Lonchura striata: one gene and its partners. The protein of the gene in region 1 interacts with the protein of each later gene in a pairwise test. Links are inferred from orthologs where the notes say so. Each region holds a gene or a part of one and is shown in the gene's direction. Other genes may lie near its edges.

Region 1 (7,966 bases):
GAAGATGCTTCCCAGTGGGAGTTCTGGGAACACCAGCAGATGGAAAAGCTCCAGGGAAGGCTCTGGTTTGGTGCAGAGGTTCCTGTGTCACCTCAGGACATGGGTTCCTCCCAACTGTGGAAATGCAGAGTTTCCCTCTGGCTGCCCTGGGACCCTGGCAGGGGTCAGGAACCCCCTGGACAGAGCCCCCAGAGACACTGGCTGTGATCTCTGGCCATGGAAAAGAGTTTTCAATCTTACATCCTGCGGACAGGATGAATTACCAGCTCTGAGGGTTTGATATAAGTAACAATTAAGTGTGGCACGGGTGCAAAAGTAAAATTTTAGGATTCTAGATGAGGGGTCCAAAGGGGACAAGATGGAGGAAATTGGGTGTGCCTTGTCCTTTTTCTCCTTCTTCATGCCCTCCATGTCTCACTGTGGTGTTGGCATTTTTCTGTTGGTTCAGGCTGGGCACACACTGTCCAACGTAGGTGACAGATATTGGCACGTTCTTGTAAATGCAGCCCAGGGAGTTTCTGGTATTTAATGTTTGTAACATCCCACTGAGGGCAGAGCCCCACACGCTGCCCTGCAGGACAGAGCTGGGCAGGGCAGCAGAACATGTGAGAGATAAACAGAATAAACAACCTGGAAACCAGCACAGACCAATTATGGCTGATTCTTTGAAAGACAGAGACTTTTACAATCTCAGAATCATCAATACCACAGATTCCGACACCAGGCTGCTTTAAACACGTCACCTTTGTGCCCCATCAGCATTTTGGAGGGGGATCACCACTGAGATGGGTTGGATTTCCCAAAAGCCCCTCAGCAAAGAGGGGATCAAGGCTCTGAGTGGAGGCAGAGCCCTCAATCCCAAATTTCCCACCCCTCCCTCTGCCGTGCCCACACCCCACTCCTGCATCGTTCCCTTCTCAGCTCTGGGATGAGGCAGAAGGATCTGCTGGAATTCCAGGGGGTTGCAGGTGGCAGAGGACGTACCTGGAGCCACACAATCCTCTGGTACACGTCCTGCCTCATGCTCATCTCCACGTCGAACTCCGAGAGCTTCTTGTCGGCCTCGGTGCTGGCGGCGCGGGTGGCCTTGCAGGGGGACACGTGCTGGGGGAAATCCAGCATGTTCCTACGGACTGGCAGGAGAAAAGGGGACAGGGATGGTGGCTCCACGTCCCAGCACACGCCCGGAGCCAGGCTGGCAGCCCCAGAGCCTTTTCCACCACGCTGCAGGGGAGGGAGGTGGGATGTGGCTCCTGCTCCCTTTGGTGCCTTCCCTGCTGCCCAGCACATCCACCCTGCTGGATTCCCGCCACAATCCTCCCAAAATCCACGGGAATTCTGTGCCTGTGAGCCCCCAACAGCTCTGCCCCAGCTGTGGCAGCACGGGAGGTTTGGGGAGGCCTGTGCAGGGCCAGGAGTTGGACTCGATGCTCCTTTGCAGCTGGAGGAATTCCACGATTCCTGATGGCAGCAGCATTCCCTGCCTCCTTTAAAGCTCAAAGTGGGACAATCCCTTCCCGCAGACACTTCCCAAAAAAGCCACCATGCCCCAGGTGCGCCCTGTCCTGACGCAATTCCACGTGGGAAGGCAAGGAGAACATTCCCTGCTGTTATCCCTGCAAAAAGCTCCAAGAGCAGCACTCCAGGTGCTCTCCAGGCACCTGGATTCTGCCCCCAGCAGAAGCTGAACAGGCAGCTCAGGCAGGGAAGTGCTGACAGCCGTGCTGAGGTGCACATTCCTCCTGCTGAGCAAAAGGAATTATGCTTTTTCCCCAATTATTTTAGGGAAAAAAGAACTGGGAGAGGAGGAGGACGAGGCTGCTCCCGGCCCCAGACAGGTGGGGCAGCTCGAGCACAGGGAGCAGCCCAGGTGTCACGAGGAGGGGCCACAGAATTGTCACCCTGCTGCAAATAATCATCCAGAAAGCCACCAGAAGAGCACAGTTTTGGTGCCATCACGTCGTGGTACTCCCCACCCCTAAAAAAATGCCAGCGGGATTGATTCTCCCAAAAAAAATCACAGCAGGATTGAATCTCCCAAAAAATGCCAGCAGGATTATCCTCCCAAAAAAATGCCAGCAGGATTGATTTTCCAAAAAAAATCCCAGCAGGATTGATTCTCCCAAAAAAATCACAGCGGGATTGAATCTCCCAAAAAATCCTAGCAGGATTGATTTTCCCAAAAAGTCCCTGCAGGATTTATCCTCCCAAAAAATCCTAATGGGACTGATTCTCCCAAAATATCCCAGCAGGACTGAGTCTCCCAAAAAATCCCAGCAGGATTGACTCTCCCAAAAAATTCCAGCAGCAAACAAGGCACATGGAGAGACATTTGTCCACTGTCCCAGGGAAAATTGAGGAAGGAAGTGAGAGTTTTTGGGATCTTTTCTCTGCTCCCACTGGTGACACGGGAAAGCTGGGACAGCTTTGGGGACATGGCTGCTCCTGCTGGCCTTGGGTTAATTTGCTTTTCCAAATCTGCTCTTTGTGCTGGCTCCTGGTTGTGTAAACATTAACTGGGAATAAAACCAACATTCTGCTGGCAGCCACGGGGAGAGAAAAGCAGGTGACAGCACAGAGCTAAAAAAAAAAAATCCAAAAATCCTAATAATCGTAGAATGGGTTGGAAAGTCTCTCAAAGCTCAGCCCTGCTATGGGCAGGGACATCTCCCACTATCCCAAGCTGGCCTTGGACCTTCCCAGGGATGGGGCAGGCACAGCCGCTCTGGGCAAGCCGAGAACCTCCCGCCTTCCCGGGAAGAGGAAGGTGTATCCCACCTGTGCATCCCATCCTGTGCCAGCAGGAACAGCTCCTTCCAGCCCAATCCCACAGATCTCACCTTTGTACCCCACCCTCTTCCAGCAGGAACAGCTCCCCCAGCCCAATCCCACTAATCCCACAGATCCCACCTGTGCATCCCACCCTGTGCCAGCAGGAACAGCTCCCTCAACCCAATCCCACCAATCCCACAGATCCTACCTGTGCATCCCATCCTGTGCCAGCAGAAACAGCTCCTTCCAGCCCAATCCCACAGATCCCACCTTTGTACCCCACCCTCTTCCAGCAGGAACAGCTCCCTCAACCCAATCCCACCAATGCCACCTGTGTATCCCACCTTCTGCCAGCAGGAACAGCTATCCCAGCCCCAATCCCACCCTTTGCCAGCAGGAACAGCCCCCTCCAGTCTGATCCCACTGATCCCACCTGTGTATCCCACCCTCTTCCAGCAGGAACAGCTCCCTCCAGCCCAATCCCACTAATCCCACAGATCCTACCTGTGTATCCCACCCTTTGCCAGCAGGAACAGCCCCCTCCAGCCTAATCCCACTGATCCCACCTGTGTATTCCACCTTTGTATCCCACCCTCTTCCAGCAGGGACAGCTCCTTCCAGCCTGATCCCACTAATCCCACTGATCCCACCCTCTACTGGCAGAAACAGATCCCCCAGCCCAATCCTACCAATCCCACCCTGTGCCAGCAGGAACAGCCCCCTCCAGCCTAATCCCATTGATCCTACTGTGTATCCCACCCTCTTCCAGTAGGAACAACTTCCTCCAGCCCAATCCCAGCAATCCCATCCTGTGCCAGCAGGAACAGCTCCCTCCAGCCTGATTCCACAGATCCCACCTGTGCATCCCACCCTCTTCCAGCAGGAACAGCTCCCCCAGCCCGATCCCACTAATCCCACAGATCCTACCTGTGCATCCCATCCTGTGCCAGCAGGAACAGCTCCCCCAGCCCGATCCCACCAATGCCACCTGTGTATCCCACCCTTTGCCGGCAGGAACAGCTCCCCCAGCCCAATCCCACAGATCCCACCTGTGTATCCCACCCTTTGCCGGCAGGAACAGCTCCCCCAGCCCAATCCCACCCTCCTCCAGCAGGAACAGCCCCCTCCAGCCTGATCCCACAGATCCCACCTGTGCATCCCACCCTCTTCCAGCAGGAACAGCTCCCCCAGCCCAATCCCACCCTCTTCCAGCAGGAACAGCTCCCCCAGCCCAATCCCACCCTCCTCCAGCAGGAACAGCTCCCCCAGCCCAATCCCACCCTGTTCCAGCAGGAGCAGTCCCCTCCAGCCTGATCCCACCTGTGTACTCCACCTCCACGTCCGCCAGAGCCTTCAGCGTGTTCTCGTAGGAGACCTCCCCGCGCTCCTGGGCTCCCACGCGGTCGTACACCAGCTTGGTGCTCTCGGTCAGCTCGGCGGCCATGGCCTCGATCTGCTCGGCCGTCAGGTCCCAGCGCAGCTGGCTGGCCACGGGCCGCGGGGCCTGGCCGTCCACGACATTCCCTGCGGGACAGCGGCGGCGACAGCTCGGGGGGAGCATTCCGGGCAGAGCCCGGCCGCCGGGAATCGGCGGCGGGATCGCCGAGCGGGCGCTCCTCGCCCCTCCCGGTCCCGAAACCCGACTCCGTGCCCCGCCGGCTGCTCGGGGACGGGGCCACAGAGGTGACCCGCGGGGAGAGGAGACCCCGGCCGGCCCGGGGGACCGGCCCCGGCCCGGTGCTGCCGCCCCATCCCTCTCCCCTCACCGCTCTCCCCGGTGCCCCCATCCCGCCGGTACCTGTCGGCGGGGCCATGTCGGGGGTGCCGGGGGTACCGGGAGGCCCCGCGCTGCTGACGAGGCCGGGAGGAAACCGGGCCGGCCCCACGCACCGAGCATGTGCCCCGACCGGAGAGGCGGGCGGGAGAGCGGGGCATGCTGGGAGCCTGGAGGACCGGGCCGCTCCCGCCGCGCCCGCGCCGCACCGGGGCCGGGCGGCGGGGGCGGCTCATCCCCGCCGCGACCCTCCGGGCCGGCCGGGAGCGGGCGCGGGGCGGGCGCGGAGCATCCCCGGGTCCCGCCCGCCCGTTCCCATGGCAACGCCCCCGCGCGTTGCCGTGGCAACGCCGGCATCTCTATGGTCCCGCTGGGGGCGGGGCTTCCGCGCCAGGCCACGCCCATTCCGGTGCACCGGGGAGGGCGGGGCGGCGGGCGCGGCGCATGCGCAGTGCGGGAGCGCGCCCGGCCCAGGCGAGTGTCCGGTGAGCGCGGGGGAACCGGGACCGGCACCGGGACCGGGGCTGAGCTCCCGCCGGGACCCTCCGGTGCCGGGCCGTGCTGTGCTGCCCGCCGCAGCCGCCGTCCTGCTCCGCCTGCGGGCAGCGGCACCGGAGGGCACCGGGACTGGGATGGGGAACCGGGGCACCGGGGGCACCGGGGCTGGGCCCCCGCCGGGACCCTCCGGTGCTGGGCCGTGCTGTCGGGGAACGGGAGCTCCCGGGTCGGGGAACGGGATCCCAGCCGGGCCCGGGGCTGCTCCCGGGTCGGGGAACGGGAGATCCCGGGTCGGGGAACGGGAGATCCCGGGTCGGGGAACGGGATCCCAGCCGGGGAACGGGAGATCCCGGGTCGGGGAACGGGAACCCAACCGGGCCCGGGGCTGCTCCCGGGGCTTCTGGTTCCGCTCGGGTCCGTGGGACTCCGGTGAAACGGAGCTCGTTCCTCGCTTAAACGATCCTGGCTGTGCTACAAACCCACTTAAGGTCCGGGGCTCGCTTTCGCTGCCCCGGGATCACTGGAATTCCCAGCCTCGGGAATTTTTGGGCTCTCTGTGCTTTGGGATTTTGGGATTTCTTTCCCTTTTCCCCGCCAGGACAGCCCTGGCTACCAGGGGCTACCAAATCCCTCCCGCTCTTGGCTCTGCTTTCAGGAGCAAGAAAATTGGGAATTTTTCCTGGTGAGCTCCTCAGTGCTCCCAGGGTTTCAACCCTCTGGGTTGAATCCAGGCCAGGAGAATTCCTAAGGAATATCAGGAAAGTTCTGGAGTTCTTCCCTGACCGAGAGGACAGGGCAGCTCCCTCATCCCCCCAAATCCATCCTGGCCTCCTCCGAGGCACAGCAGCAGCAAACCCCTGTTTGCCTTTCCCCGCTCCAGCCCAGCCTTGGAGCCTCTGCAGGAATTTTTTGGGACACCAGGAGGAGGAGGAGGAGGAGGAGCCCGGCCCCTCGCAGCCCTTCTCTCCCAGCATGGCAGACCAGAAGCGTCTGGCCTTCTCCATCATCCAGTTCCTGCACACCCAGCTCCAGAACGGGAGCATGTCTCCAGACGCTCAGGAGAGTTTGGAAGGTGGGTGCATCTCCCAAAATTTGGGAGAATTTTCGCCGTTGTCTCCCTGTTTTCTACCCTTGGCTGGGCTGCTGCCGGTGCTGAACCTCGCTGGGATTTCGGAGTTGATTTTTCCTTTTTTGGGGATTTATCCAGGGGTGCTGGTGGTTCATGTGGCTTCTGATCTCTTCCAAGAGCAGCTTAGCTGGGGACAGAAGCCTCCCTGATCCCTGCTTGGAGACTCAGAGGGTTCATCCTAGATGCTGAGCATTCCGTGGGGTGGGAGGTGGGAATTCCCCAGCTCCAGGGAAGCTTTTTGTGCTCCTGGCCTTGTTTCTCCTCTTCTGCTCCCCAAAAATCCCTCAGGGTTTTTCCAGGCCCTTCCAAAGGACAGGGATCTTAAAAGGATCTCCCTAAGGAGCTTAAGGTTTAGTCCTTGGTTTGTGGGTTTGTCCTGGTGAAAGGAGCGTGGCTGTGGGGTGCTGGGAGCGGGATATTTTGGGATGTGGAATGTGGCAGGAGGCTCTCCTTTCCCTGGGAGCAGCTTCCCGAGCCTGAGGAGGGAGGAGGTGGCTCCCAGAGCCAGGGGAATGTCTGGGTCTCTCCCTGGAATTCTGGGCCATTCCCACATTCCCAGCAGTGGGAATGCTGCTGCAGCCCCAGCAGGAATCCCTCGGGATGGGAACTGGGGTTGGCTCCATCCAGGATATCCAGAGGGAAGCTTTGCCCAGCTCTGAGTTTTACCAAAATCTGAGGGTACAGCCCAAAAATCCCATCTGGCGTGGGGAAAGTGGTGGGGTTTTTCCTGGTTTTTTTGAGAGATGAGGGAGAGGGATGAATGTTTATTAATTAATGACCTGATTCTCCTTATCCAGTGGCCATCCAGTGCCTGGAAACAGCCTTTGGGGTCTCCATGGAAGACCAAAGCCTGGCTGTGTCCCAGACCCTCCCCGAAATATTTGAAGCTGTGGTAGGGAAGGTGAGTGAGTGCCCTGGAACGTTCCCTTTTCCTTAAGCTCTGCTGGATTTTCCTGGAGGCTGCTGCTCTCCTCAGGAGCTCCGTGTGGGAGGGGAACGTTTTGGGCTGGAAAAATGGGAATTGTGGGAATGCTCAGCTCAGCTTCTCCCTCTCTCCTTGGAAGGAGCCGGAACACTCCAGAACGAACTCGGAGCCCGTCACTCCCTCGGAAGATGATGTGGCTGAAGCTGAAAGACTCAAGACTGAAGGTACCAAGCCCTGGAGCTGCTGGATAACGAGGGTTTGGTGCTAATTGGGAGGGGATCTCAATTCCCTGGCACCTGAGGAATGCTTGGAATGGAGGGGAAAAACAAAATGTTTTCGATTTCTGCCTCTTGCTCCGTTTGGTTTGCAGAAGTGTGGGGAGATTTTGCTGCCAGGGATGTTGGAGCAGTGGGATTTTTATCCCAAAAACCCTGTGGGGTGTGGAGCAGAGCATCCATCCCTCCTGCTCTGTGCGTGGCTTTTTCCTGGGAAAAAGTGGGATGAGTGTGGATGCAGCACTTCCCCCCTGAGCCAGCAGCTGGGGTGATTTTTTTTGGGATGCAGCATCAGGAATGCTGGAATTTCCAGCACAGCCTCGCAGCTGGACCTGCCCCACGCTGACAAACCTCTCCCCTGTGCTATTTCCATGGATCCAGGCCTTTGCTTTGGTTTATCCCAGTTCTTTTCCATCCTTTCCCACCCTCCTTTCAGGAAACGACCAAATGAAGGCAGAAAACTTCGAGGCTGCCGTGTCTTTTTATGGAAAAGCCATCGAGTTAAACCCAGCCAACGCCGTTTATTTCTGCAACAGGTACTGAGCAGCTCCCCCAGCTGCTCCCTGCTGGGATCCCAGGCTCTGGAATGCCCC
Region 2 (6,661 bases), on another chromosome or scaffold:
TCAGCTATTCCTAAAATGTCACCCCTCATCCTGAGATTTCCATGAATGGGGACCTGTACCTTGGGGGTTTATCCAGGAGCTGTGTCTGCCCTCTCCGCAGGTCGGGGTCTTCTCCCCCTCCCACCGCAACCACTACCTCAACGTGACCCCCAACAACCTCCTCCGGATCTTCCCACCCGAGCCCGAGGGCTGCTCCCCCCGCCAGGTCAGGGGGGCACCGGCGGCCCTGGGGGGCTGCTGGGACCCCAGGGGGGTCTGGGTTCTGGGGACCCTCGAGAGAAGGGGGGGCTGGGTAAATCCCCCAGGAATCCATCCCCGCTGGGTTTTGCAGGTCCCTGGCCTGGCTGAGCTGAGCCCAGAGCCCCCGGCACGGCCCACCCGGGCTGTCCCTGCTCCCGAGCACCGGGGACAGCCGAGGACAGGCGGACCCAGCGCGGAGCAGCGTCCCGGGGGCTCCTCCCTGCGCCCAGCGAGCTCTGATCCCGGCTGGGAAGGACCGGTGGGAACGGATGGATGTGACCTGGGTGAGTCGGAGCCACCCTGGAGGGGAGGAGAAGCTCTCCGGCCTGGGGAAAGCCGGGCCTGGCCCCTGAGCAGTGCCACGGTCACACACACACACGAGTGACATCCTCTGTGCCTGCAGATGACCTGGACGGGCTCCTGGGAGAGCTGCCCGAGGATTTCTTCTCAGCCCCGGCTCGGGTTGACTGCGGCTGAGCCCAGCAGCTCTGCTGAGGGTGGCGGTGCCAGGAGCAGGTGGCACGGCTGGCACCCCCCTGCTGCTCCCTGCGTGTCCGTGGTGTTTGCTGTGGGGCCGAGAGCCGGGGCACCCCGAGGCCTCGGCGCTGCTCCGGGCCCCCAAACCTGCATTAAAGGGCTCTTTGGTTTCTGCATCACCTGTGTCCTCGTGTGTCACCCCTGTTCCTTCCCGGGGTCCCTGCTCCTCCGGGTGTGAGGAGCCGTCTCCCCAGGCTCTCACAGCCCTGCAGGACCAGGGATCCCCAGGTCCCTCCCCGTGGGACGTCCCCACCTCGCGCCCACCAACAGTTTAAGCTGCCCTGCACCCCGTGACTCTGTTTACCACCAGGAGTTATTTATAATCCCCTGGCTCTGGGATTCGATTGCACACCCGCCTGTGGGGCACGGCCCTATTTATATCCCCGAGCTGTGCCCCGAGCCCCCCGCCCTGCCCTGCCGGGTGCCCATGGCCCACGAGAGCTTCGCCTTCAGCCCCTCGGCGCTGCGCTCGCTGCGGCTGCAGCGGGAGCTGCTGGAGCGGGAGGATCGCCGCCGGGCGCTGGCCCGGGCACCGGCCTCGCGCCCCCTGCCCGGGACCCCCCGCGCCCCCCCGAGCCCCCCGCGGCGGCGCCAGCTCTGCCGGGACCCCGCCGTGCACAACGCCCTCTACGCCGGGGACCTGCCCCGCGTCCAGAGCATCTTCAGGGACGAGGCCAGCGCCAATCTGGTGTTGGAGATGGTCAGCGAGGAGCTGGTGTGGTCACCGGAGCAGGGTACGGCCGGCCATGGGGCTGGGGGTCCTTCCCTGCTTCTCCCTCCCCCCCGTTCCCCTGCAGAACGAGTGGGGGGCAGGAAAAGGGGGTGCAGCTCCGGGGGGAGCGGGGCTGGCTGCTCCGGTTTGTGGGTGACAGGGAGTCTGGGGCAGGGCGGGTGCTCGGGGCAGCCCCATGGGCGCCCCACTGCTCCCGCCAGCTCCAGGGTGGGTGGGTGTGGGTGAGGGGGGTCCAGCGGGGTGCGGGCTGTCCGGCAGCCCCCGCTGACCCCCGCAGGGCTGTGGGTGCTGAGCCCCCGCCGGGAGCACACCTCGGCCCTGCGCATCGCCGCCGCCCGCGGCTACGAGGCCTGCGCCCGGCACCTGCTGCTCCGCGGGGCGGCCGTGGACGCCGTGGTGGGGGGCCGGGCCCCCCTGCACGACAGCGCGGCCGCCCCCCACCCCAACTGCGCCCGCCTGCTGCTGGCCTTCGGAGCCGACCCCAACGTGCTGAGCGCCGACGGCTCGGCCCCGCTGCACCTCTGCACCGCGCCCCACAGCCTCAGGTGCGGGCTCACCTGCGGGGTCTCACCTGTGGGGTCTCACCTGCAGGGTCTCACCTGTGGGGTCTCACCTGCAGCCAGGGCGGGCTCACTGCAGGAGGGGCCCGTGAGATCCTCACTCCTGCCCCACCCACGCAACCTGGGAGCCAGGGGCCTGGGGGGTGTCCTGGGGGGTGCCTGGGGGTGTCCTGTGGGTGACAGGTCACTCCAGGGTGCCCATGGCAGCGTCCCGTGGGTGACAGGTCACTCCAGGGTGTCACTGGGTGTCCCTGGGGGTGTCCCTGAGGGTGTCCCATGGTTCCCAGGTGACTCCAGGCTTTCCCGGGGTGTCCCTGGGGGTATCCCATGGGTGACAGGTCACTCCAGGGTGTCACTGGCCGTGTCCCACAGGTCACAGATGACTCCAGGCTTTCCCGGGGTGTCCCTGGGGGTGTCCCATGGTTCCCAGGTGACTCCAGGCTTTCCCGGGGTGTCCCTGGGGGTGTCCCTGAGGGTGTCCCATGGTTCCCAGGTGACTCCAGGCTTTCCCGGGGTGTCCCTGAGGGTGTCCCATGGTTCCCAGGTGACTCCAGGCTTTCCCGGAGTGTCCCTGGGGGTGTCCCTGAGGGTGTCCCATGGTTCCCAGGTGACTCCAGGCTTTCCCGGGGTGTCCCTGGGGGTGTCCCTGCGGGTGTCCCACTGCAATCACGTCTCCCTGGCACGTCCCGGTCGCGTCCCACGGGTGCCGCGTGTCCCCGCCGCGCCCGCTCACCGTTCCCACGCGCTCCAGGTGCGCGGAGCTGCTGCTGGCGCACGGCGCGCGGGTGAACCTGGGCACGCGCGACCGGCAGGTGACGGCGCTGCACGTGGCGGCGCGCCACGGGCTGCCGGCCCACGTGGAGCTGTACCTGCACCACGGCGCCGACCCCGAGCGGCGCACCCAGCAGGGCGAGACCCCGCTGAACGCGGCGGCGGCGGCGGCCGAGCGCCCCGAGGACGCCGAGCGGTTCCTGCGCGTGGCCGAGCGGCTGCTGGCGGCCGGCGCCCGGGCCGGGGCCGCGGGCCGCAAGGGCCACACGCCGCTGCACAACGCCTGTGCCAACGGGCACGCCGCGCTGGCCCGGCTGCTGCTGCGCCACGGCGCCGACGCCGCCGTGCCCAACGGCGCCGGGGACACCCCCATGGACTGCGCCCTCCGCGCCGTGCCCGAGTACCGGGAGCAGCGGCCCGAGGAGATCCTGGCCCTGCTGCTGGACCACGGCGCCCTCCCCGCGCACCCCAAGGTGGGGCACGGGGTGACGGGGGACTCGGGGTGCCGGGGGGGTCACCCCGGTGACACGGCTCTGCTGGCAGATGCTCAGGCTGTGCTGCCAGCACCCGCCGGCGCTGGAGGTGATGCTCAACGCCTACGACCGCGTGCCCCCCGCCGACGGCTGGGCGGAGGCCGTGCCCCCCGAGCTCTGGGAGGTAACGGGGTCCTGGGGGGTCCCGGGCCGTGCCCGTGTCCCATCCCGGCGCACCGAGCCCTCCCGTGTCCCCCCACGCAGGAGCACCGGGAGTTCTACGCCTCGGCCGTGCGCATGGCGGGGCGGCCGCGGCGGCTGCAGCACCTGGCCCGCGTGGCCATCCGGCGCCACCTGGGCGCCCGCTGTCGCGCCGCTGTCCCCGAGCTGGCGCTGCCACCCGCACTGCGCCGCTACCTCCAGCTGCCCATCGAGGGTCTCATCTCCTGAGGGCACTCCATGTGTCCCCGCCGCTGCCCCCTTCTTGCGTGCCCTCCTTGCTCCCCACGAGTGTCCGCTGCCTGTGTCCTCCCCGTGCCCTGCTGTCAGTAAAGGACATGGCAGAGGTGGCTCCCGAGGTGTCCTTGTCCCCGTGGGACCAGCGGGGCAGCGTCACCTGCAGTGGGGACGGGGGAGGAGGGGACAGAGCCCTTGGGTGGCAGGGGGGGGACAGACGGGCCCCGGAGGATGTGGGGGCCGTGGCGGGGGTTACAGCCGGGCCGGGGGGTCCGGGGGGTTCCGGTCCCGGGGGGGCTCAGCCCGGGGTTCCCACGGTGCTCCCGGGCCCCGCCCCGCCGGTGACTCCGCCCCAAGTGGCCCCGCCCACGCCGGCCCCGCCCACTCGGGGCGCGTTCCGCTGGCCCCGCCCACTCGGGGCGCGTTCCGCTGGCCCCGCCCCTCTGGCCCCGCCCCCGGGGCGCGCCCGCCGCCCCCGGCCGCCCCCTGGCGGCGGCGCGCGGTGACGTGGCGCTTCCGGCGGGGCGGCGGCGGCGGGAGGCGGTGAGTGGGGGGGGCACCGGGACCCCCGGGACCGCGGGGACACCCGGGACCGCGGGGCTGGCAGGGACACACCGGCACCCCCCGGGATGGCCGGGCATGGCGGGCACGCACCGGCACCCCCGGGAATCACGGGGACCGGCAGGGACACACCGGGAGCCCCGGGCACGGGTCGGGACGTCCCCGGTTCCTCCCGCCCCGCCATGCCCGGGCCCCGCTGACCGCATCGCTCTGCTCCGTCCAGGTCGGGGATGGCCTGACCCTGCCCCGCTGGGCACCGAGGGGCTGGGGCACCCCCGGGACTCTCCGCCGGGCCCGGTGAGGTGAGCGCAGCGCCGCCGGTTCGGTGTCTCGGGAGCGAGGAGGACAATCCGCAGCGAGGAGCTCCCGTCCCTGCGGTCTCCGGGTACCGGGAGCGGCCCCAGGGTCTGTTGTGAGCCCGAAGGTGGCACCGGGGCAGCCCCGGGGGTCCCCGCTGCCGCCGCGCCGCTCGCTCACACCGGGCACCGGGAGGTCGAGGCGGGCATCGCGGAGATGGAGCCCCCGGCCGCCCCCCTCATCGTGGGGGTGGGGGACGAGGTGACGCTGGTGGCCGGGGTGGCCGTGCTGGTGCTGGCGCTGGTGCTGGCCTGGCTGTCCACGTACGTGGCCGAGGGCGGCAGCCAGCTCCTGGGCACCGGGGACGCGGCCGTCATCCGCCTCGGGCCGCTGCCGCCCTACGCGGGGCCCGCGGGGGCGGCCGAGGCCCCGGAGCCCCCCAGGAGCCCCGCGGGCGCGGAGGAGAAAACGGAGGAGGAAGGGGCGGCGGCACCGGGGGACAGCGGGAGCGGCCCCGAGCCCGGCCTGGAGCAGCTGCTGGACGCGCCCGGCTTGTCCCGGGGCGCCGCTGAGCCCGGGGGCACCGGTGACGCGTGCCCCGGCCTCATCAAGATCCGCCTCAAGTTCCTCAACGACACCGAGGAGGTGGCGGTGGCCCGGCCCGAGGACACCGTGGGGGTTCTCAAGAGGTGAGGGCCGGGGGACGCGGGGAGCGCTGCCGGGCCCCCGCTGCGAACAGCCGCTTCCCACGGGACGGGGGAGGGCGTTCATCCCTCCCGATGTGCCAAAAATACCGGGGGGTGTGGGCTTTGAGACAGCAAGTTCGAAAGAGGCGGCGGTGGCGGTGCCGTGGTGAACCCTCCCCGTTTAACGGAGGGGCTCCCAGCCCGGGCGGGTCCCTCCCCGGGCGGGTCCGGGGTCTCCGCCGCCCCCACCCTCCTCCCTCCTCCCGCAGCAAATGCTTCCCGGGCCAGGAGGCCCAGATGAAGCTCATCTACCGCGGGCAGCTGCTGCAGGACCAGGCGCGCACGCTGCGCTCGCTCCGCATCACCGACAACTGTGTCATCCACTGCCACCGCTCCCGGGGGACCACCGCGGCCACCGCCGCCCTGCCCGAGCCCGGCCCCGCCGGCCCCGCGGCCCCGGGGCTGCCGCTGGCCGGGGGCACGCTGATGGTGCCCACGGTGATGGTGGTGCTGGCGCTGGGCTGGTATTTCCGCATCAACTACCGGCAGCTCTTCACGGCCCCGGCCACCGTGTCGCTGATCGGTGTCACCGTGCTGGTCACCCTCCTGGCCTTCGGGCTGTACGGGCAGGCGGGGTGAGCCGGGGCGGCACCGCGGCCTCCGTCCCCGCGCTGGGTCCCAGCCTCGCTGCCGGACTTTGCCCCCCAAAAAGGGGCTGTGCCCCCCCCAGACTCCACTGCCGGTCCCCAGCCCCAGCTCTGGGGGAGCTGGACAGCACTGGAACGGGCCGTGGCTTCTTCCCAAGGACTTTTTAATGCAAATAAAGGGTGTCAAGTCACCCCAGTGGTCGCCTTCCTGCCCTGGGAGCTGCTCTCCTACCCACCCACACTTCTGGGTCTTATAAAAACAAATCCGGCTCCCCCCCCCCCCGCCCCGTGCTGAATGGAGTGGGTGGAGATGGAGGTGGGAGGGGTAAAGGCCCTGTTTAATTAACGAGCTGTAATTAATGCCAGGGATACCAAGTCAAGATGCAGTTTTATTTACAGGGGCAGCCACAACCCACTCACGGGACACACAGACCTCACAAGGGCTCAGTTCCCCTGCGGGGGGGACGCGCAGAAACACCGGGGGGGGCAAGGACACCGACCTGGGGGGGTCACAGGGCACGGTCTGACCCCCCCAAGCCCCACTGCACCCCTTGGACCCCAAATCGCAGTGCCTCTCCTGCAGCTGAAGGGGCTCAGGATGCCTTTCCCCCACAGCCCCAGCTCGCCATGCCCCCCCAGGCAGTCTGGGGTGGTCCCCCGTGTTTTTGGGTGCCCACAGCTCCGTCCTGGGGCCCCGGGG
Region 3 (7,995 bases), on another chromosome or scaffold:
ATTTGGTCCCTCGGACACGTGCTGAGGTCAGGGGCAGTGTTGAGTGTCCATCACACGGTCTGAGGGCATCCCAGGAAGGGTTTGGCACGTTTGGATGTCACCTTGCTCCTGGCCATGGTGACAGGAAGCACCAGGCGGTGCTGAGGCCTGCCTGCCCTGGGGCATTCCCAAGCTGTTTTCCAAGCTGCCCCCGCTTGTGCCCAGCTGCTCCTGGCACAGCCCTGCAGCCCCAGCCATGGGTCAGGACTGTCCTGGCTGAGCCGGAGGGTGCCAGGGCTGCCCCCACACTGCGCTGTGCCGTGAGCTCGGGGGATGCCCAGCAGGAACGGGACACGCTGGGCGCTGTGGCCCTGCAGCAGCCTCCTACAGGGTGTGCTGGGGATGCTGGGGAGAGCATGAGCACAGGGACATTGCCCCGGGGTGGGCATCGTCCTCTTGCCACCCTGAAACCACAGCTGGTGACACCTCCTACCTCCCCCAGGCTCTGTGGGTGCCCGTGGGCAGCTGCCTGGGAAGGTTTTTGGCTCTGGCCCTGCCACATTCCTTGGTGGAGGGAGGAGTGGAGCTGGAGCCTGACACGACTCAGCCACAGCCACCAGGACTGGGGACACGCCGGTGACCCGCGCGGGGCTGTCACCTGCCTTTTGTCCCTTGTCACCACCTGGCATCCCCCCTGGCACGGACACCCCTCCCTGACCCCGGGGCTGGGCTTTATCTGTGCCCAAGGACCCCCGAGCACGCGCTGGGGTGGTGGGAGGTCTCTGTGGTGGGGAGCCCGGGTCATGGTAACTCTGAGGAGGGACGGCCCCAGCCTGACCCTGCGGCTCCCTGGCTCCCGGCCCGGCTGAACTCCCTGCCCAGGGCTCTGCTCCCATGGGTGCTGCCCCTGCGGCCAGGGGCTGCTGCTGGGGCAAGCCTGAGATCCCCCCGCTGCTGGGAGCTGGGTGGGATGTCCCAGTGTCCCCTAGGGTGTCCCAGTGTCCCTTAGGGTGTTCCTGTGTCCCTTAGGGTGTTCCTGTGTCCCCTAGGATGTTCCTGTGTCCCCTAGGATGTTCCTGTGCCCCTTAGAGTGTTCCTGTGCCCCTTAGAGTGTTCCTGTGTCCCCTAGGGTGTCCCAGTGTCCCTTAGGGTGTTCCTGTGTCCCTTAGGGTGTTCCTATGTCCCCTAGGATGTTCCTGTGTCCCCTAGGTTGTTCCTGTGCCCTTTAGAGTGTTCCTGTGTCCTTTAGGATGTTCCTGTGTCCCCTAGGGTGTCCCAGTGTCCCCTAGGGTGTTCCTGTGCCCCTTAGAATGTTCCTGTGCCCCTTAGAGTGTTCCTGTGTCCCCTAGGGTGTCCCAGTGTCCCTTAGGGTGTTCCTGTGTCCCTTAGGGTGTTCCTGTGCCCCTTAGAGTGTTCCTGTGTCCCCTAGGATGTTCCTGTGCCCCTTAGAGTGTTCCTGTGTCCCCTAGGATGTCCCAGTATCCCCTGGGATGTTTCTGTGTCCCCTAGGATGTCCCTGTGTCCCTTAGGGTGTTCCTGTGTCCCTTAGGGTGTCCCAGTGTCCCCTAGAGCGTCCCAGTGTCCCCGTGTGGAGGGCTGGAGGAGGGGAAGTGGGAGATTTGCTGCGGGATGAAGGCTCCAGCCCCATCACGGCATCCTGAGTCCCCCCTGCTGGCAGCGGGCTGGGGGGACGTGCCTTCCAACCCACATTCCTCCGCTCCTGAAGGAACTGTCCCGGGACCTTCCCACGGGGATTTCCAGCCCGGGCACACATCGCTGCAGCCTGGATTGTGCCGGTGGGATCCTGGCTCAGCTGCAGCACCAGGAGGCTGTGGGACAGCATCCTGGCCTGGCCCTGCGCTGAATCACCGGGAAGGAACTGATTAAGACCTTGCAACACTTTCGTGCTGGAAATAACTTTCTCCAGAGAGGCAGCCCGAGGCTGGCTCTAGGATGCAGCTGGAGGGATTGGATATGCCACAGGTTTTAGCCCTGCTTTGGGGCTCGTTGGCTGGAAAAAGCTTCCCGAAATGAGGGGTTGGTTGGGATGTGCTCTCACTCCCATGGGGAGGTGGGAAGAGAGGGAATTGAGGTCCAGGGAAGCTCCAGCCTTGGCCACGGTGGAGATGTGGCTGCATGGGGGTGGTGCTGGTGTCTGCTCCAGACCCTTTGGAACAGGGACCATCCTGCCCCCTTGCTCCAGCCCTGCATCCTTCCGTGCTGGGCAGCAGCCGTGGGCACCCTGGGGTGCCCAGGAAGCCCTCCAGCCTCCTCCCACCTTTCCCCCTTGGCTGACAGTGGCTCTGGGGGGAGAGGAGCAACTCCTGCACAGCACCAGCGTGGTGACAGTGCCATTGGTCCCAGTTTGCCACTGGGAGAGGGACAACCACCCTAAATTTTGCCTCCCCGGTTTTTCTGGCTACAGTGTGCACACGGAGCTGCTGCCACCTCTGCCACCAGCCCCATTTCTGCCCCGTGACTCAGGGATTTCGGCAGGTTTGGGAAGGGAGGAGGGGCAAAAGCCACTTCCCTGCCAAAAACAAAAGAGGCGGATGCTGCTCTCGCCCTGTGTCAGGCATGAGGCAGATTAATATTAACCCGTCCCTCCATCCTGCCGTCCCTCTGTCCTGCCCTCCTTCTGCCCCTGGCCCGCTGCCCCACAGCTTGTCCCATGACCCAGCATATGACACTTTTCCTGTCCCTTCAAAGCAGAGGGCAATGAGTGTGCGGGACATGAGCAGCCCGTGGCCTCAGCCGGTGTGAAAGGGCCTCATGTGCTGCCACGGGGTCCCCGTGAGTCACCCCTGGTGCTGGCGTCACCCGCCGTGTCCCCGGCGTCCACCCCGGTGTCCTCCCAGCGCGGGGGCTGCGAGGCTCCCAGAATAGCTTGTGATGAAAAATGTCTCAGCGTTTTGGGGAGAAAGGGGTTATTTTGGGAGGACAGCTGATTTCTAAACCTGATTTCTACTCCTTCCCCAGCCTGTCACCCTCAGCACCCTCAGATGTTTATCTGCTGCTGTTGCTAAGGGACACTGAGGGTGACAAGAGCTGGGGCACCCATGTGCTGGTGCAAATCTGACGCTATCTTGGGGCTGTCACTGCTGTCCCCAACTCCAGCTGCTTCCCAACTCTTCCCCGTCTCTTCCAGCAGATCACTGATCCCAACCCATCACTACTGGAATGAGCTCTCAGCTCCAGGAAAACCCCTCAGCAGCTTCTGCAAGCCCAGCAGGGTTTCCGGCCCTGGGGAGCAGATCCCGCTGGCCCCTCGGAAGCTCGGATGTGGTGGCTGTCACCCACACTTGGCCCCATTGTCACCATCCCCTCTTGCAGCCACATGCCAGTGTTTGTGGAGCAGTTTGCTTTCGGTTTCCTGTCAGAATGCCGAGTGCTTGGCACCGCCGTGGATCACCTCGTGGCCACTAATCACTTCCAGTCGCCTGGAAAGCAAACAGGCAGCGGAGAGGAAAATCCCATGTTGCATGGCTGTGCTGGGCCCGGATCCAGCCCCTCACAGATCCCTGTGCACGGATCTGCACCTGTGCACATGGATCTGCTTGTGCACATGGGGACCCTCTGTGCACAAATAGACCATTCATGCACACGGGGATCCATCCATGCACACGTGGATCCATCCATGCACACGGGGATCCATCCATGCACACGTGGATCCATCCATGCACACGGGGATCCATCCATGCACACGTGGATCCATCCATGCCCATGGGAATCCATCCATGCACACATGGATCCATCCATGCACACATGGATCCATCCATGCCCATGGGAATCCATCCATGCACACGTGGATCCATCCATGCACACATGGATCCATCCATGCCCATGGGGAACCATCAATGCACACGTGGATCCATCCATGCCCATGGGGATCCATCCATACACACGTGGATCCATCCATGCACACGTGGATCCATCCATGCCCATGGGGATCCATCCATGCAAACATGGATCTCTCCATGCAAACATGGGTCTCTCCATGCATGTGTGGACCCATCCATGCCCCTGGATGTGTCTGTGCTCATGTGAACCCATCCATGCACACGGATTTGTCCATGTTCATGCAGATCTATCATGCACACGTATGCAGACATCTGTCCGTGCACATCCCTACCAGTGCATCTGCTTGTGCACGTACAGGTCCATCTGTGCAGATGGATCTGCCTGTGCACACGTGGGCTGATCAATGCTCATGGATCTGTCCATGCACATCCTTGCTGATGCATCCATCCCTGCATGCTCTGATGGGTGTCCATCATATGTGTGTCTGTGTGTGTGTGTGTGTGCCCAGGGATGAGCAAGCACACACGTGCAAGGCCCAGAGCTCTGTGCGTGCTCTGAGGGGTGTCCCTGCACATCCAGGGGGGTTGTGTTTATGTTCACACGGATAAAAGTGCCCAGGGGTGACCATACACACACACGGGGGTGTGAGCACACGTGCACGTTCCGAGGGGTCCCCGCGTGTGCACAGTTGTGTGTGTGCGTACACACACGTGCCAGGCTCAGGGCTGTGCGTGTGCCCGTGGCTACCGGCGCCCGGGGTGCCCGTGGCCACGCAGGGGTGGTGTCTGTCCGTGGCGCATCCACGCAGAGGTGTGCGTGCGCCCAGGTGAGCACACACGCGTGTGTTTGCGATAACGGGGGCTCACACACACGGGCCGAGCCGTGCCGAGCCGGTTCCGGGAAAGCCGAGCCGATCCCATCGCAACCGAGCGGCTCCAGCCCAACCCGAACGGCGCCGCTTCGACCCCAGCGGCGGCGAGTCCGAGCGACTGAACGGCCCCAGCGGTTCCGATGGGACCTGAGCGGTTCTGCCCGGAGCCGAGCCGTGCACACGGGAGCCGGCAGTGCCGCTCGGTGCCCTGCCGGTGCTGGCCCGGGCCGGGCCCCGCGGGGCCTGGCCGCCCGCCAGGGCTTTCTCATAAACCACATGCTGCCGCGGCGCTATAAAGGGGAGCGCGGCCGCGGCGGCGGCTCAGCCCGGCCCCGCTCGGCCCCGCCGCCGCTGCCGCCTCGCCCGCTCCGCCCGGCCCCGGTCCCACGGCAGCCCCCATGCCCCGCCTCGGAGCCAAGGTACGGCGGCCCCTCCCGCTCCCCGCGGCCGCGGAGACCCCCCCCAGCCCGGCGCCCGCCGCCACCTGTGCGGGGCCCCCGCGGGAGCGGCGGCCCCGCGTGTCCCCGTGCCCCGCGGTGGGTCCCGTCCCCCGGGGGTCCCGGCTCCCGCCGGGGGATGCTCCAGCCCCGCCTCGCTTGGCCGCGGCAGCCCCGCACCCGCGGGGTGAAGCCGCGGCTCCGGCCCCGGTTCCCGGTTCCCGGTTCCCGCCTCCAGCCCCGTTACGATTCCCAAACCGGGCGTGGGGAGGCCCCGGCCGGTCCCCGGCCCCAGCCCCGTCCCCGGCGGGGCGATGCTGCAGCCCCGGCTCCATTCCCGGACCTGCGCGATGAGGCGCCAGCCCCCGGCGCGGTTCCAGCCCCGGAGCCGCGGGGTGAAGCCCCGTCCCGGTCACCGACTCCAGCCCCGTTCCCGGCTCCAGCCCCGTCCCCAGCCCGTTCCCGGCGGGGTGAGGCTCCGTTCAGCCGTGACCACATCTCGGCGGTGGCCCGGGCGGCATCTTGGAGTTTCACAAGAGGGGAGGATTCCTGGATATCATCCAAGGGAAATTCCCCCCCACTCATCACCCAGGCACCCTGTCCCCTGCCGGTGCCCCGGGAGAGGGGTGCACACCCACCCGAGGGTCCCCTCCGCCCCCACCTCGGGAGTCTTGGCTCTGGATCAAGCCCCGTTTCTCACCGGGGTCCCGCCACGGATCGGGGCCTCCCCGCTTCTTTGCAGGGGGATTGGGAGGGAAATTTGGGACGAGGCCAGAGCTGCTGCATGGAAAGAGCCCGGCGGGTGCAGCTGGGGGGGTCTGGAGGGTGGGAAGAGGATTTTTTGGGGATGGGTGGGTCAGTGTGTCAGATGGGCTCTGGAGAGCCAGGGCGGAGGAGGAGATTTGCAGGAGAGACGGAGAAATGGTTCGGGAGAGGGGAGAGGGGCTGGATCGGGAATGTGGAGGTGGCCAAGGGCCACATTCAGGCGTGTGTCACCGGGCCTTGGGAAATTCCCTGCTGACCTGGAGCTCCTAAAAATAGCAGGATGGGGATAGGCACGGGGTTGGAGGAGCACAGTGGGATTATCCTGCTGGACCGTGGCCAAGTGCCGGCTCCCACAGAGGTGGTCATGCCGGGGGGTGGTGGAGATTGGCAGGGGGCTTGGCATGTGTGTGGCTTATCCCTGCTTCAAACTCTTCCTGTGCCGTGCTCAGGTGTGCCTGCTCCGCTGCTCCCTGCTGTCGTCCCTCCTCCTCCTGCTGCTCCGCATCCATGAGACGGAGCAGAACAGCTACTGCCAGCAGATCATCACAGAGAGGCACCTGGCCGAGCTGGAGGAGCTGGTGAGTGCCCTTCCGGGGCTGTGCCGTGGGATGGGGGCTCATGTGGCGCCAGATGGGCACAAAGCAGCTCTGTTTTAGTGCTGAAATAAGGAAATGGGGCGATCTTCAGCTCCCCTAGTGAAGTGACGGCACCCGGGAGCTGAGCATCCATGGGCACAAGGGACAAGTGGGCACCGCGGAGTGACAGATGTCGTGCCTTTATCAAGGGTGGCTATGGAAAAGTGACGACAGGAGGAGCGAGAGAAGGCGGCAGCAGGAGCGAGGCCGGGAAGGGGACAGGACTGAGGCTGGATGGGCGCAGGGCCGCTGGGGAAGCAGCGGAGGGGCGGCTCTGCGGGCTGTGGTGCTTTCCGGGCGGCCGCGCAGGGGTTAAGCAGAGGAATCCGGCTGCATTCCTGAGTCCAGCTGCTTGCCTGGAAGCTGGGCTGGCAACGGGGCTGTGGGTGGGTGGCAGGCGGCGAGGGGGGCCCGGCCGGCCGGTGGAGCCGACCGGGCTGGGCGATGGGGCCGTCGTCCCGTGTGGCCCGTGGGCAGCTCCGGGCGCCGGCGGCCGCCCCGCGGCACGGCCAGCCCCGGCCCGGCGGACACAGCTGCCGGGGCCGTATCTCTCTCTTCGTGGCCCTTGGCTCACCTCCGAGCGGGGAATCACGCGGATGTTCAGGGGAGAAGCGGGAATCGGGGGCACGCAGGGATTTGCAGGGTTGTCGCAGATTAAATTCTGCCTGCAGCAAGAGGGGTGTGCGGGCGAGAGACGGGAGCGGCGCCTCCGAGTCCCCGGGAGCTCCGCTCGGTGCAAACCGCCGCGTCCGGGCTCGCTTCACCTCTTCCTCTTTAACCACCGAGCTGCGGGGCCGGGAGCCGCTCTGGGCGAGCTCGGCTTCCTCTGCCCGAGCCCTCTCTGCACAACGCATCCCCCGAGGGATTAAAATTGGGTGCGCGGCTGTGGGAGGGAGGGAACGGAGCAGGTTTGAATGGACGATGTGGTTTTCCTGCTGGGGATTGCAGCCCTCTCCTCGCTGATGGAGGAGCTGGCCCTCGCTCCAGCGCCTGCAGGATAATGGAGCAATTGTTTCCGGGACGGCATCCCAGGCTAGGAGGAGAAATGCCGGCCGGCAATTCTGCCAGCCCTCGCCCTCCCAGCCGGGGATGCCAGCCCGGAGGGAGAGCGTTTGCTTAGGGTGGGTTTTTCCTCCCACTGGGGAGGGTGGTGGCGTGGGCGGCCGGCAGCGCTGCGGGTGGGACCCCGGCGTTGTGTGATCCCGGAGAACGTGTGACCCCGGTGTCACGGCCACCTCCTGCACGGCAGGATGCTCTTTTGCAGCCTGGATTTAGAGGAGAGAGTGATGCGGGGGAGACCCGAGGAGAATTAAGCGGGGCTGGGCTCCGCTGTGGCGCTGGCAGGAAGAGGAGGAGGAGGAGGAGGAGGAAGAGAGGCGGGGTGGGAGCAGGCAGGGAAAGGCAGGAGAAGGTCTGTGAATTGGGGAGTACAACATCCTGATGGGAGCAGGAATCCTGAGCTTACTCCTGCCACTGCATCAACCGTAGGGATGTGCCTGTGTGAGGA
Region 4 (7,362 bases), on another chromosome or scaffold:
ATCCACAAAAGCCAGTAGGGATTTTGTCCTTTTTTCTCAAACATTTTTTACAGAGTGAGTTTTTCAAGGATGTTTCTCCTTACATGCAATCTGCAACACAAGCTATAATTTGCCATCTCTCTGATTATTTTTTCAAGTTTTTTCTCCTACTGTTTAAACAGTGGGACTCACTACTGTACATGATTTGTGTGTACAAAGCTTTGCACATGTCTAAGGTGCTTGTTTCTCTCTCAATTTATCCTTCTATCATATAACAAGAACAGAAGCTGGGGTATTTTACTGGAAAGATCCCATGCAACATGTTAGCTTTATCCTGTTGTTCAGAACACTCATTTTCTGAAAAGGCTAAATATCAAAACATGTTTTCATAAATCTGGAAAAATTTCACCATCTTAAAAAAAAATCAGTTACCTCTGGTGGTAAACTGAAAAAGTATCAAGCTCTTCTTCTGCCTTCAATTTGCTCAGTCAGTTGTTCCCAAGATGTACCCAAGAGACCAGACAAATCAAGCAAAATATGTTGCCGTATCTGAGTTCTCTGTAACAGACATAATCTTGTTTTCCTTCAAGGTTACTGTATTTGGAACATCTACTGCAGAGTCTTCAGTACAGATCACTTTACTTTTAAAAAAGCAATCTTTACAGAAACTATGGTTCAGAAAGTGGCTTCAGACTCAGCATCTGAGTTTCCTGAGAAGGCTGGATGTTACCCCTGAAAACAAGGATTGAAAACTGAATTTATCTCTCTAGGATTTTGAGAAGATGCTTAGGAAATAGATCAGTTTACAGCTGTATAAGCATCTTTTACTTTTGACTTTAGAAAATCATTACTTGAAAACTCAGTAGATGTGCTGGTGCCTCTCTGCAGACTGCTCAGCACTGAAGTAGTTAACACAGCCAGTGCATCAGTGTTTGCCAACTGTTGAAATCTGTTGCAGCAAGGTCAGAAAATGTGAGTAAGAGGCTAGCAAGTCTGCCCTCACCACTGAAGGCTACCACTGGGTGAATGGCAGTAGAGGGAGGAATTTTTTATGCGGGGAGTAGGAGTGAAATGTCTGTATTAGAAAGGAAGCAACACCTTGTAAAACTATAAAAGTAGCTTAAAATAATACGGAATAGCATTTTTATTGAGGAAGTGAGATACTTTACTGTCCCACTAATGGTGCTATAACCCTCTTTCTACCCTAAGGTTAGCTTAAGTGTTTGACATACAAATGCTAGTGAGCAAGTCAAGGTGGTTACTGATTCACACTTACTTAAACAGGCAAAGTGGGAGGTAAGGATTGCTTGCCCTCTCTAACTGAAGTTAAAGTCTTTCTTCCTTGCTGCCTGCACTGACATTGCTCTACTTCTAACTGCAACACTGCAATCCTTTGCATTTGAGAGGGAGTCACACAAACATAAATGAATGTCTTTAGGAAAAGTCTTTCGTCCTACATCAACAGCAGCTAAAAGAATGAACAGTTAACTCATTTGAAAAACTGAGATTGCACAGGTCTTTGCGATGTTGCTGTGTTTTTGTGATGGCAGCATTTGCTATCGCAAGGGTGTGATTGCACCCACACCATCTTTCCCCTTTGTGGTTTGTGTTGCTGTATTCATTTATCCCACTTCCATCCTGTCTCTACAGAATCATGACTTGTAGTGACAATATCTCCACTTTTCTGCAGCGAACATGCCAGACTTCAGTGCAACCCCCTCTATCACCCATGCATGCATCTCAACAATTAGGCATGGTAAAACCTTCATTTTGGTGTCCTTACTCACAGGACAGCATTTTCTGGAGAAAATAAAGTCATCTTGCTGGTAAGTGCAATTGTGGGCAGCTGGCTGAATCTGCTCCTCACTATTTATTTGTGCTTTGAGGATGGCAGTGCAGTAGTTCAGGGGTGAAAGGCCCACTCAGAGTGGTTCTTCATGTACTGCTCTTACACATGTAATTCATATTTTCCACTAAAGACACCATGTGCAGTTACTTTTCTCTATGAAAAGGTCCCACTAACTCGAACCACTGTCCTTAATCTCCCTAAATTATGGAGTGGTAATTTGTACTTACTCATTTTAAAGCTAATCAATGTGCAATACTGTGTGTTATGCAGCTTTTTTTGCATGTTCTTTGACTAAGTCCCTGCTTATATAATTGGCATGTAAGAAAATAAAACCTTCCTACAAGGGGCTGATAATGTGAACAACTGTGTAAAAATAGGTGACATAAGGAGAAGAAAAAAGGGATAAGTGATAGCCTGTCAGTGTTCACTAGGATGACTCTTCAAATGGGTTAGAGAACAGAGCACCTGCTTCCACCAGCAATCACTGCAGGGGAAGTTTGCAGTGGTAATACAAAATTAGGTGGAGGAACAGAGAGCAAAGCAGTGCTTGTGTTGAAGGGTAAGGTCTGAAGCAGATGAGAACAAAACTATATTGAGATCTGAAAACAGTATTCATTTTGAAAAACCATACTCCAATTTTTCTTGGTTTCACAAAATTCTTTTGCTTAAGAGTGATACCAAGTAAAAGGGATGTATTTAGTGAATTGACTTTTTAAAGTGAGTCCCCAGAACACACACTAACTTACAAAGAAAAGCACTGGTCTTAAAAAAAATCAGTGTGATCCCATAATCTCTTAACCTTGACAGCTCCCTGACTGCAGCATTACCATTCTCTGGACAAATAATTGGAGAAATATGGAGATGCATAGAAGAAACTGGCTTACAGAGAAAGGACAGTTTACAGGGAAAGGAGTAATTTTGATGTAGATCCTAGCACACCAAATGGAGAGTATCTTCAATCCTATTTTAAAAGTTCAAGTGGCATGTAAGTTTGGAAATGAAAAAAGAATCCTGTGTTCTTCATCTCTACTATGCACTTGCTCAACAATCATGAAGTCATGTCCTAGACGAGAGGAAAAGAGACAGCTGTGGGATAACACAACACCCAACTTGGAAAATTCTGATTCCAGACAGTATCTAAGAACCATTCAATGGGATTGAGGAAGTGCTCCAGCATGATCCCATTGCAAATAGTAGTTGCAGAGTTCTTGAATGAATGAAAGGAGCAAGGTGACACTACATCTGTATAAACTATAACCTAGACAGCTATTATAATATAGCATTGCTTTTAAAAGGATGTTGGAAAGCCTGAAAGATTCAGCAGTGGCAAGGATGATTCATGGTATGGAAAAATCTTACTTGTAAAGAGCAGTAACAGTTCATTCCATGAAGTTTAACAAATGTAAGGTTAAAGGTGACTTAAACTTTGGCAGTAATTATCAGTGCAAGGAAATTTTATCTAGTATTTCAGCACTTTATAATTGAGTTGTCATCATACAAAACCACTGCATTGCAAGATTGATCCTTTACTCAAGAAGTGCAGAGAATCCTGACCAGACTTAGTGTTGTGGGAAAGGCTGATCTTGAGTGTATTTGTCAGAAAATGTGTTGACACCCTGGGTGACAGTGGTGACTTAATAATGCTGCGTTTGGAAGTTTCACAGCTTTTCTTTTTTTTAAGGAAACCAGCATTAATATTCCTCAAAGTCTATGTGCTAAAAAAATGAGAAAGATATCTGCAATTGCATTCATCATCAGTTCTAAAGGTGCCGACTTTGGTGAATAACCCTTTCCAAGAAAGAGCTGTTGTCACACAGTGTGATGTGAATGCACAGTAGACTAAAGGTACTTTTACTGTCTTTGAAGAAGCAGTCTAAAAGGTAAACTTTCTACTTCTAGAGCTATTTTTAATCTTGCAAATCTCAGGATAAGCTTGCTTCCCCAGAACTACTGGTAGCAGGAAATAGCATAATGTGTTCTACTGCATGAGCAGTAATCAATGCCCTGTGTGTAGTACCCTGCCACGCTAGTCAAAACAGGCAGAGTATTTGGAGATGTTTCCTCCTTAAGGAATTACACGAAGACATTCTACCAGAACCCTCCAGCAGCAATTACTTTAGTCTGAAACTGTTAGGAAACAGAAAATTTCAAAATTCGATAATCTGTCTGTTTAATACATGAGACAGGAGTTCAGTAGAACAATTAATTGTGATATGAAGAAGTGTCCTATGTACCTGTGAGTACAGGATAAGATTCCTCACTCTGTCAAGTTTAGCATTACAGGAGATGCTTTCTCATTCCTGCAATGATGTGCTATTCAGGGTACTTGGGCATTTTCTCTATAAACCTTAAAACCTACAACAAAAAATGTCCAGAATTAAGGGGAAATTATAGGGTAATTTTACTACTTCAACGAGCTGGAAAGCTTTGGCTCTCTTGAAAAGTTTTCTCCCACAGCCAATTGTTCTCCCAGGCTTCTCAGTGCTCACCATCCTGTTGCCACTTACCCTCCTGCTCACCTAGTGGTTACCCGAGAAAAATACCAGGAACTGTAGTTTGCTATTTTTTTAAACACAAACTGCAAAATGAGCTGCAGCAGAGGTCCAGGCATGACTATAAATGTAATGTTTCAGAGCGTGGAAAAGCATTCCTAGCTATGGCCATGTGGAATTTTCCTGCAGAAAATTGAGCAGGAAGTGGAGAGCAAGGATCTATTCAGTGCTGCTGACTAAACATACGCTGTCCATATGTTGGATACATCAGCTAGCTGGGGCCAAGGAAAAGCTGCAATAACTTCAGCTTGCTTTTTCTGCTATCCAGAATGAGCACAGTATCATGAGTGCTAAATTAAAGAAGAAGCCCAAGGAGACAGGCAGTCATGCAGGGGTGAATCCATTTCGGAAGTGATAGTAGTAATTCAAGAAATCTTTTGTGATGGCTTCAGGCTTCAATTCCCAGACCTTTGTTCTTTCAAGCAAAGTTTATTCTTTCACATGATGGACTCTGTTAACCATACACACACAAAGTTCTTGTGTAACTAACCTGAACCTTCGACTTTAAATGCTCTGGCAAGTCCTTTACAAGCCCTCTTTCTCTTGAAGGAGAAGGTACGTTATACTCAGTAATGGAGCAAAACAACAACAATGTAGAAGATTTCTCCTTGAATGTCTTTTCTGTCACTCCTTGTCAGCCAAGCAGGTCTGATGCCCTGGTGTCAGATGGGGATAAAGCTGGCACCACTCTACTTTTTTCAGGTGTGTTTTTGGGACTGGTGGGGATCACTTTCACTGTGATGGGATGGATAAAATATGATGGCATTACTCACCTGGAGTGGACTCAGTTACTAGGGCCTATTCTGCTGTCTGTCGGGGTGACTTTTGTTCTGATTGCTGTTTGTAAATTTAACATGCTTACATGTAAGCCCTGTAAAGAAAGAGAGGAGTATACATCGGAACTTGACCAGGCTGCAAGTGGACAGTCCTTTGTCTTCACCGGCATTAACCAGCCTATAACTTTCCACGGTGCCACGGTGGTGCAGTACATCCCTCCGCCGTACCCATCCCAGGAAGGCGCCGCTGGGAGTCCCGGCTACCTTCACCCAGGGCTCAGCTGCTGCGGTGCTGCTCCCCCCAGCGCCTCGCCACTTCTCGCCTCGGGTCCTCCTCACTTCTGCCCTGCCTACACCCTGGATAACCTGGCTTTTGCAGGAGATGAGAGCTACTATCCTGCAGAGAATTACAGGAATCAGAGGTACATCTTCTGAAATGACTTAGTGTGTTTGGACACAGGCTTCTGAATTTTTTAAATACTGTGTGTGTTTTCATAAGAAACTATGGCTAGTCCAGGGTATTATCCTTCTCAGACATTTTTTTGTCTTTGTTAAGAATTTTTCTTGAATGAGGAAACATACTTTTCCTGGAAAGTGTTTTTATACAATTTAAATTCACTTATAAATGCCTTTTGGTTTTCAGTGAAGTATAAATTGGGGAAACAATGGGGTATTCACAAGTCTTTCTATATGCTCAATTCTTCAAAGGCACTTCTAGGGAGAGACACTGGAGCAGTTACAAGCAACCATTACATTCAAAAATGTGGAGGTTACTCTAGAAGTAAATAATCAAAAGTACATAGAGGTGTTAAGTTTAACATTAACAGCCATTGAAAATAAGGAGAAATTAGTAAGGAGATATTAAGTCAAATATTTCCCAGAGTACTGGGGAGGAGTAATTTTTCACCATCCTTTATGTGTACGATACCCAAGATGATTTTTTTGTCTTTTTTTTAATACACCTTTTATATAACTCTTTTATAGTCTCAGTATTATTAGCATGCATGCTTATAATTCCTCAAATCTGATAACTTATAATAGTCCTGGCATTCTGTTAGGCCAGGAGACCAAACATTGTAAAGACCTCATGGTAGGAGGCTGTAAAACCCTACATTGTCTTGGGAAACCAAAGTCCTCTCTTCCTCTTTTCCTAGTTTTGAGGCATAAACAATATCAATCACGTTGCACAGCAGTATGGAGCTGCTCAAATTGTACACAAAATAATTTTATATAGTTCTTTCCTCCAAGGAAAAATATTCTAATTATAGGGATTACTCATAATTACATCCTTGCTACAACAGAAGTCACTGCTAGTTCATTTATCAAAGTCTTTTAAAAAAAACCTGCTGACTGACCCATTGTCCTCAGCAATATGGGTGACAGGCATAGGTAGGGTGAAGACAAAAGTCACCTTCTGACACTTCTAAACTTCATGAAAAAACAGCAAACAGCTGAATCTCAGTAAACTTAATCTCATAGCATTTTCTCAATAAGCTGGAGGGTACTTTTCCCAGATAAGGCTGAGAGGATGAAACACTGAAGTTAGGTGAGTGCTCTGTGTTTGGTAAATTCTTTTTGTATCTGCTCCTCTTCCTCTTTTCAGGTCAGAAGACAGTTCTGATGAACCAGAAGGACTGCTGGAAGACTATGCCCGTAATAACTTGTCACCTCCACGTTATGAGGAAATATACCCTTTTTCTTCATAAGATCATCATGGACAACAGATAATCCTAAGAGATGCTAGCAAGAATCCCAAAAAATCTTTTCTTTAAACACTTGTGTGATAAGACAGTGTGAGCAAGTTCTTGATATTCATACACAGGATCACTGAAGATATTTAATTGCCCCCTTCCTTTTTCTCTGTTAAGATTCATTAGCTCTTTGCAATGCAGCTTAATAGCAGAGCTATTAATTATTCAATGGCTAAACTATTAATAGCAAAGGATCTAAATCCATATTAGGATTCCCAACAAGAAGCTTGATTATAAGACTTGCTGAAACCAGGGTGAGCTGTGAACACACAAGATGTATGTGGACGATCATGGTTGCTCCTGGACATTCAGCATCTTTAGAAAATATTTGATTTTTTCTTGAGGTATTTTCATTCTTGATTGCTTGGGAAAGTTCAAAAGTGCTCAAGTGTCTGATCCAGGAAAGTGCACTTTATGTCTTAATTTTGTCTGATTCTTTAGAAGAGCTTACTCAT

What was found.
Region 2: the proteins of SGTA (region 1) and TMUB2 interact in binary tests that used the Homo sapiens proteins (3 or more experiments, as listed by UniProt). The two-hybrid records come from large-scale screens. The link is inferred for Lonchura striata from reciprocal best matches to the Homo sapiens genes SGTA and TMUB2.
Region 3: the proteins of SGTA (region 1) and CSF1 interact in binary tests that used the Homo sapiens proteins (3 or more experiments, as listed by UniProt). The two-hybrid records come from large-scale screens. The link is inferred for Lonchura striata from reciprocal best matches to the Homo sapiens genes SGTA and CSF1.
Region 4: the proteins of SGTA (region 1) and TMEM174 interact in binary tests that used the Homo sapiens proteins (3 or more experiments, as listed by UniProt). The two-hybrid records come from large-scale screens. The link is inferred for Lonchura striata from reciprocal best matches to the Homo sapiens genes SGTA and TMEM174.

What each region holds. Positions count from the first base shown.
Region 1 is NC_134630.1:6,150,553-6,158,518, reverse strand, and holds the start of SGTA (small glutamine-rich tetratricopeptide repeat-containing protein alpha), read left to right. Parts: upstream 1-4,965; 5' UTR 4,966-5,031; intron 5,032-5,924; 5' UTR 5,925-6,016; coding exon 6,017-6,116; intron 6,117-6,970; coding exon 6,971-7,074; intron 7,075-7,237; coding exon 7,238-7,322; intron 7,323-7,809; coding exon 7,810-7,909; intron 7,910-7,966. Other genes in the region: THOP1 (thimet oligopeptidase), read right to left, coding at 985-1,133, 4,093-4,333. UniProt on the Homo sapiens protein: Co-chaperone that binds misfolded and hydrophobic patches-containing client proteins in the cytosol. Mediates their targeting to the endoplasmic reticulum but also regulates their sorting to the proteasome when targeting fails.
Region 2 is NC_134627.1:8,667,101-8,673,761, forward strand, and holds TMUB2 (transmembrane and ubiquitin-like domain-containing protein 2), read left to right. Parts: upstream 1-4,260; 5' UTR 4,261-4,313; intron 4,314-4,554; 5' UTR 4,555-4,844; coding exon 4,845-5,317; intron 5,318-5,583; coding exon 5,584-5,953; 3' UTR 5,954-6,152; downstream 6,153-6,661. Other genes in the region: HROB (homologous recombination OB-fold protein), read left to right, coding at 101-205, 332-524, 644-717; ASB16 (ankyrin repeat and SOCS box protein 16), read left to right, coding at 1,205-1,511, 1,788-2,055, 2,822-3,314, 3,385-3,498, 3,579-3,764.
Region 3 is NC_134632.1:1,180,525-1,188,519, forward strand, and holds the start of CSF1 (macrophage colony-stimulating factor 1), read left to right. Parts: upstream 1-4,989; 5' UTR 4,990-5,049; coding exon 5,050-5,070; intron 5,071-6,302; coding exon 6,303-6,431; intron 6,432-7,995. UniProt on the Homo sapiens protein: Cytokine that plays an essential role in the regulation of survival, proliferation and differentiation of hematopoietic precursor cells, especially mononuclear phagocytes, such as macrophages and monocytes.
Region 4 is NC_134642.1:14,863,955-14,871,316, reverse strand, and holds TMEM174 (transmembrane protein 174), read left to right. Parts: upstream 1-4,937; 5' UTR 4,938-4,952; coding exon 4,953-5,578; intron 5,579-6,759; coding exon 6,760-6,862; downstream 6,863-7,362. UniProt on the Homo sapiens protein: Regulator of plasma phosphate homeostasis. Decreases serum inorganic phosphate (Pi) uptake by regulating the sodium-phosphate cotransporter SLC34A1 trafficking by PTH and FGF23 in the kidney.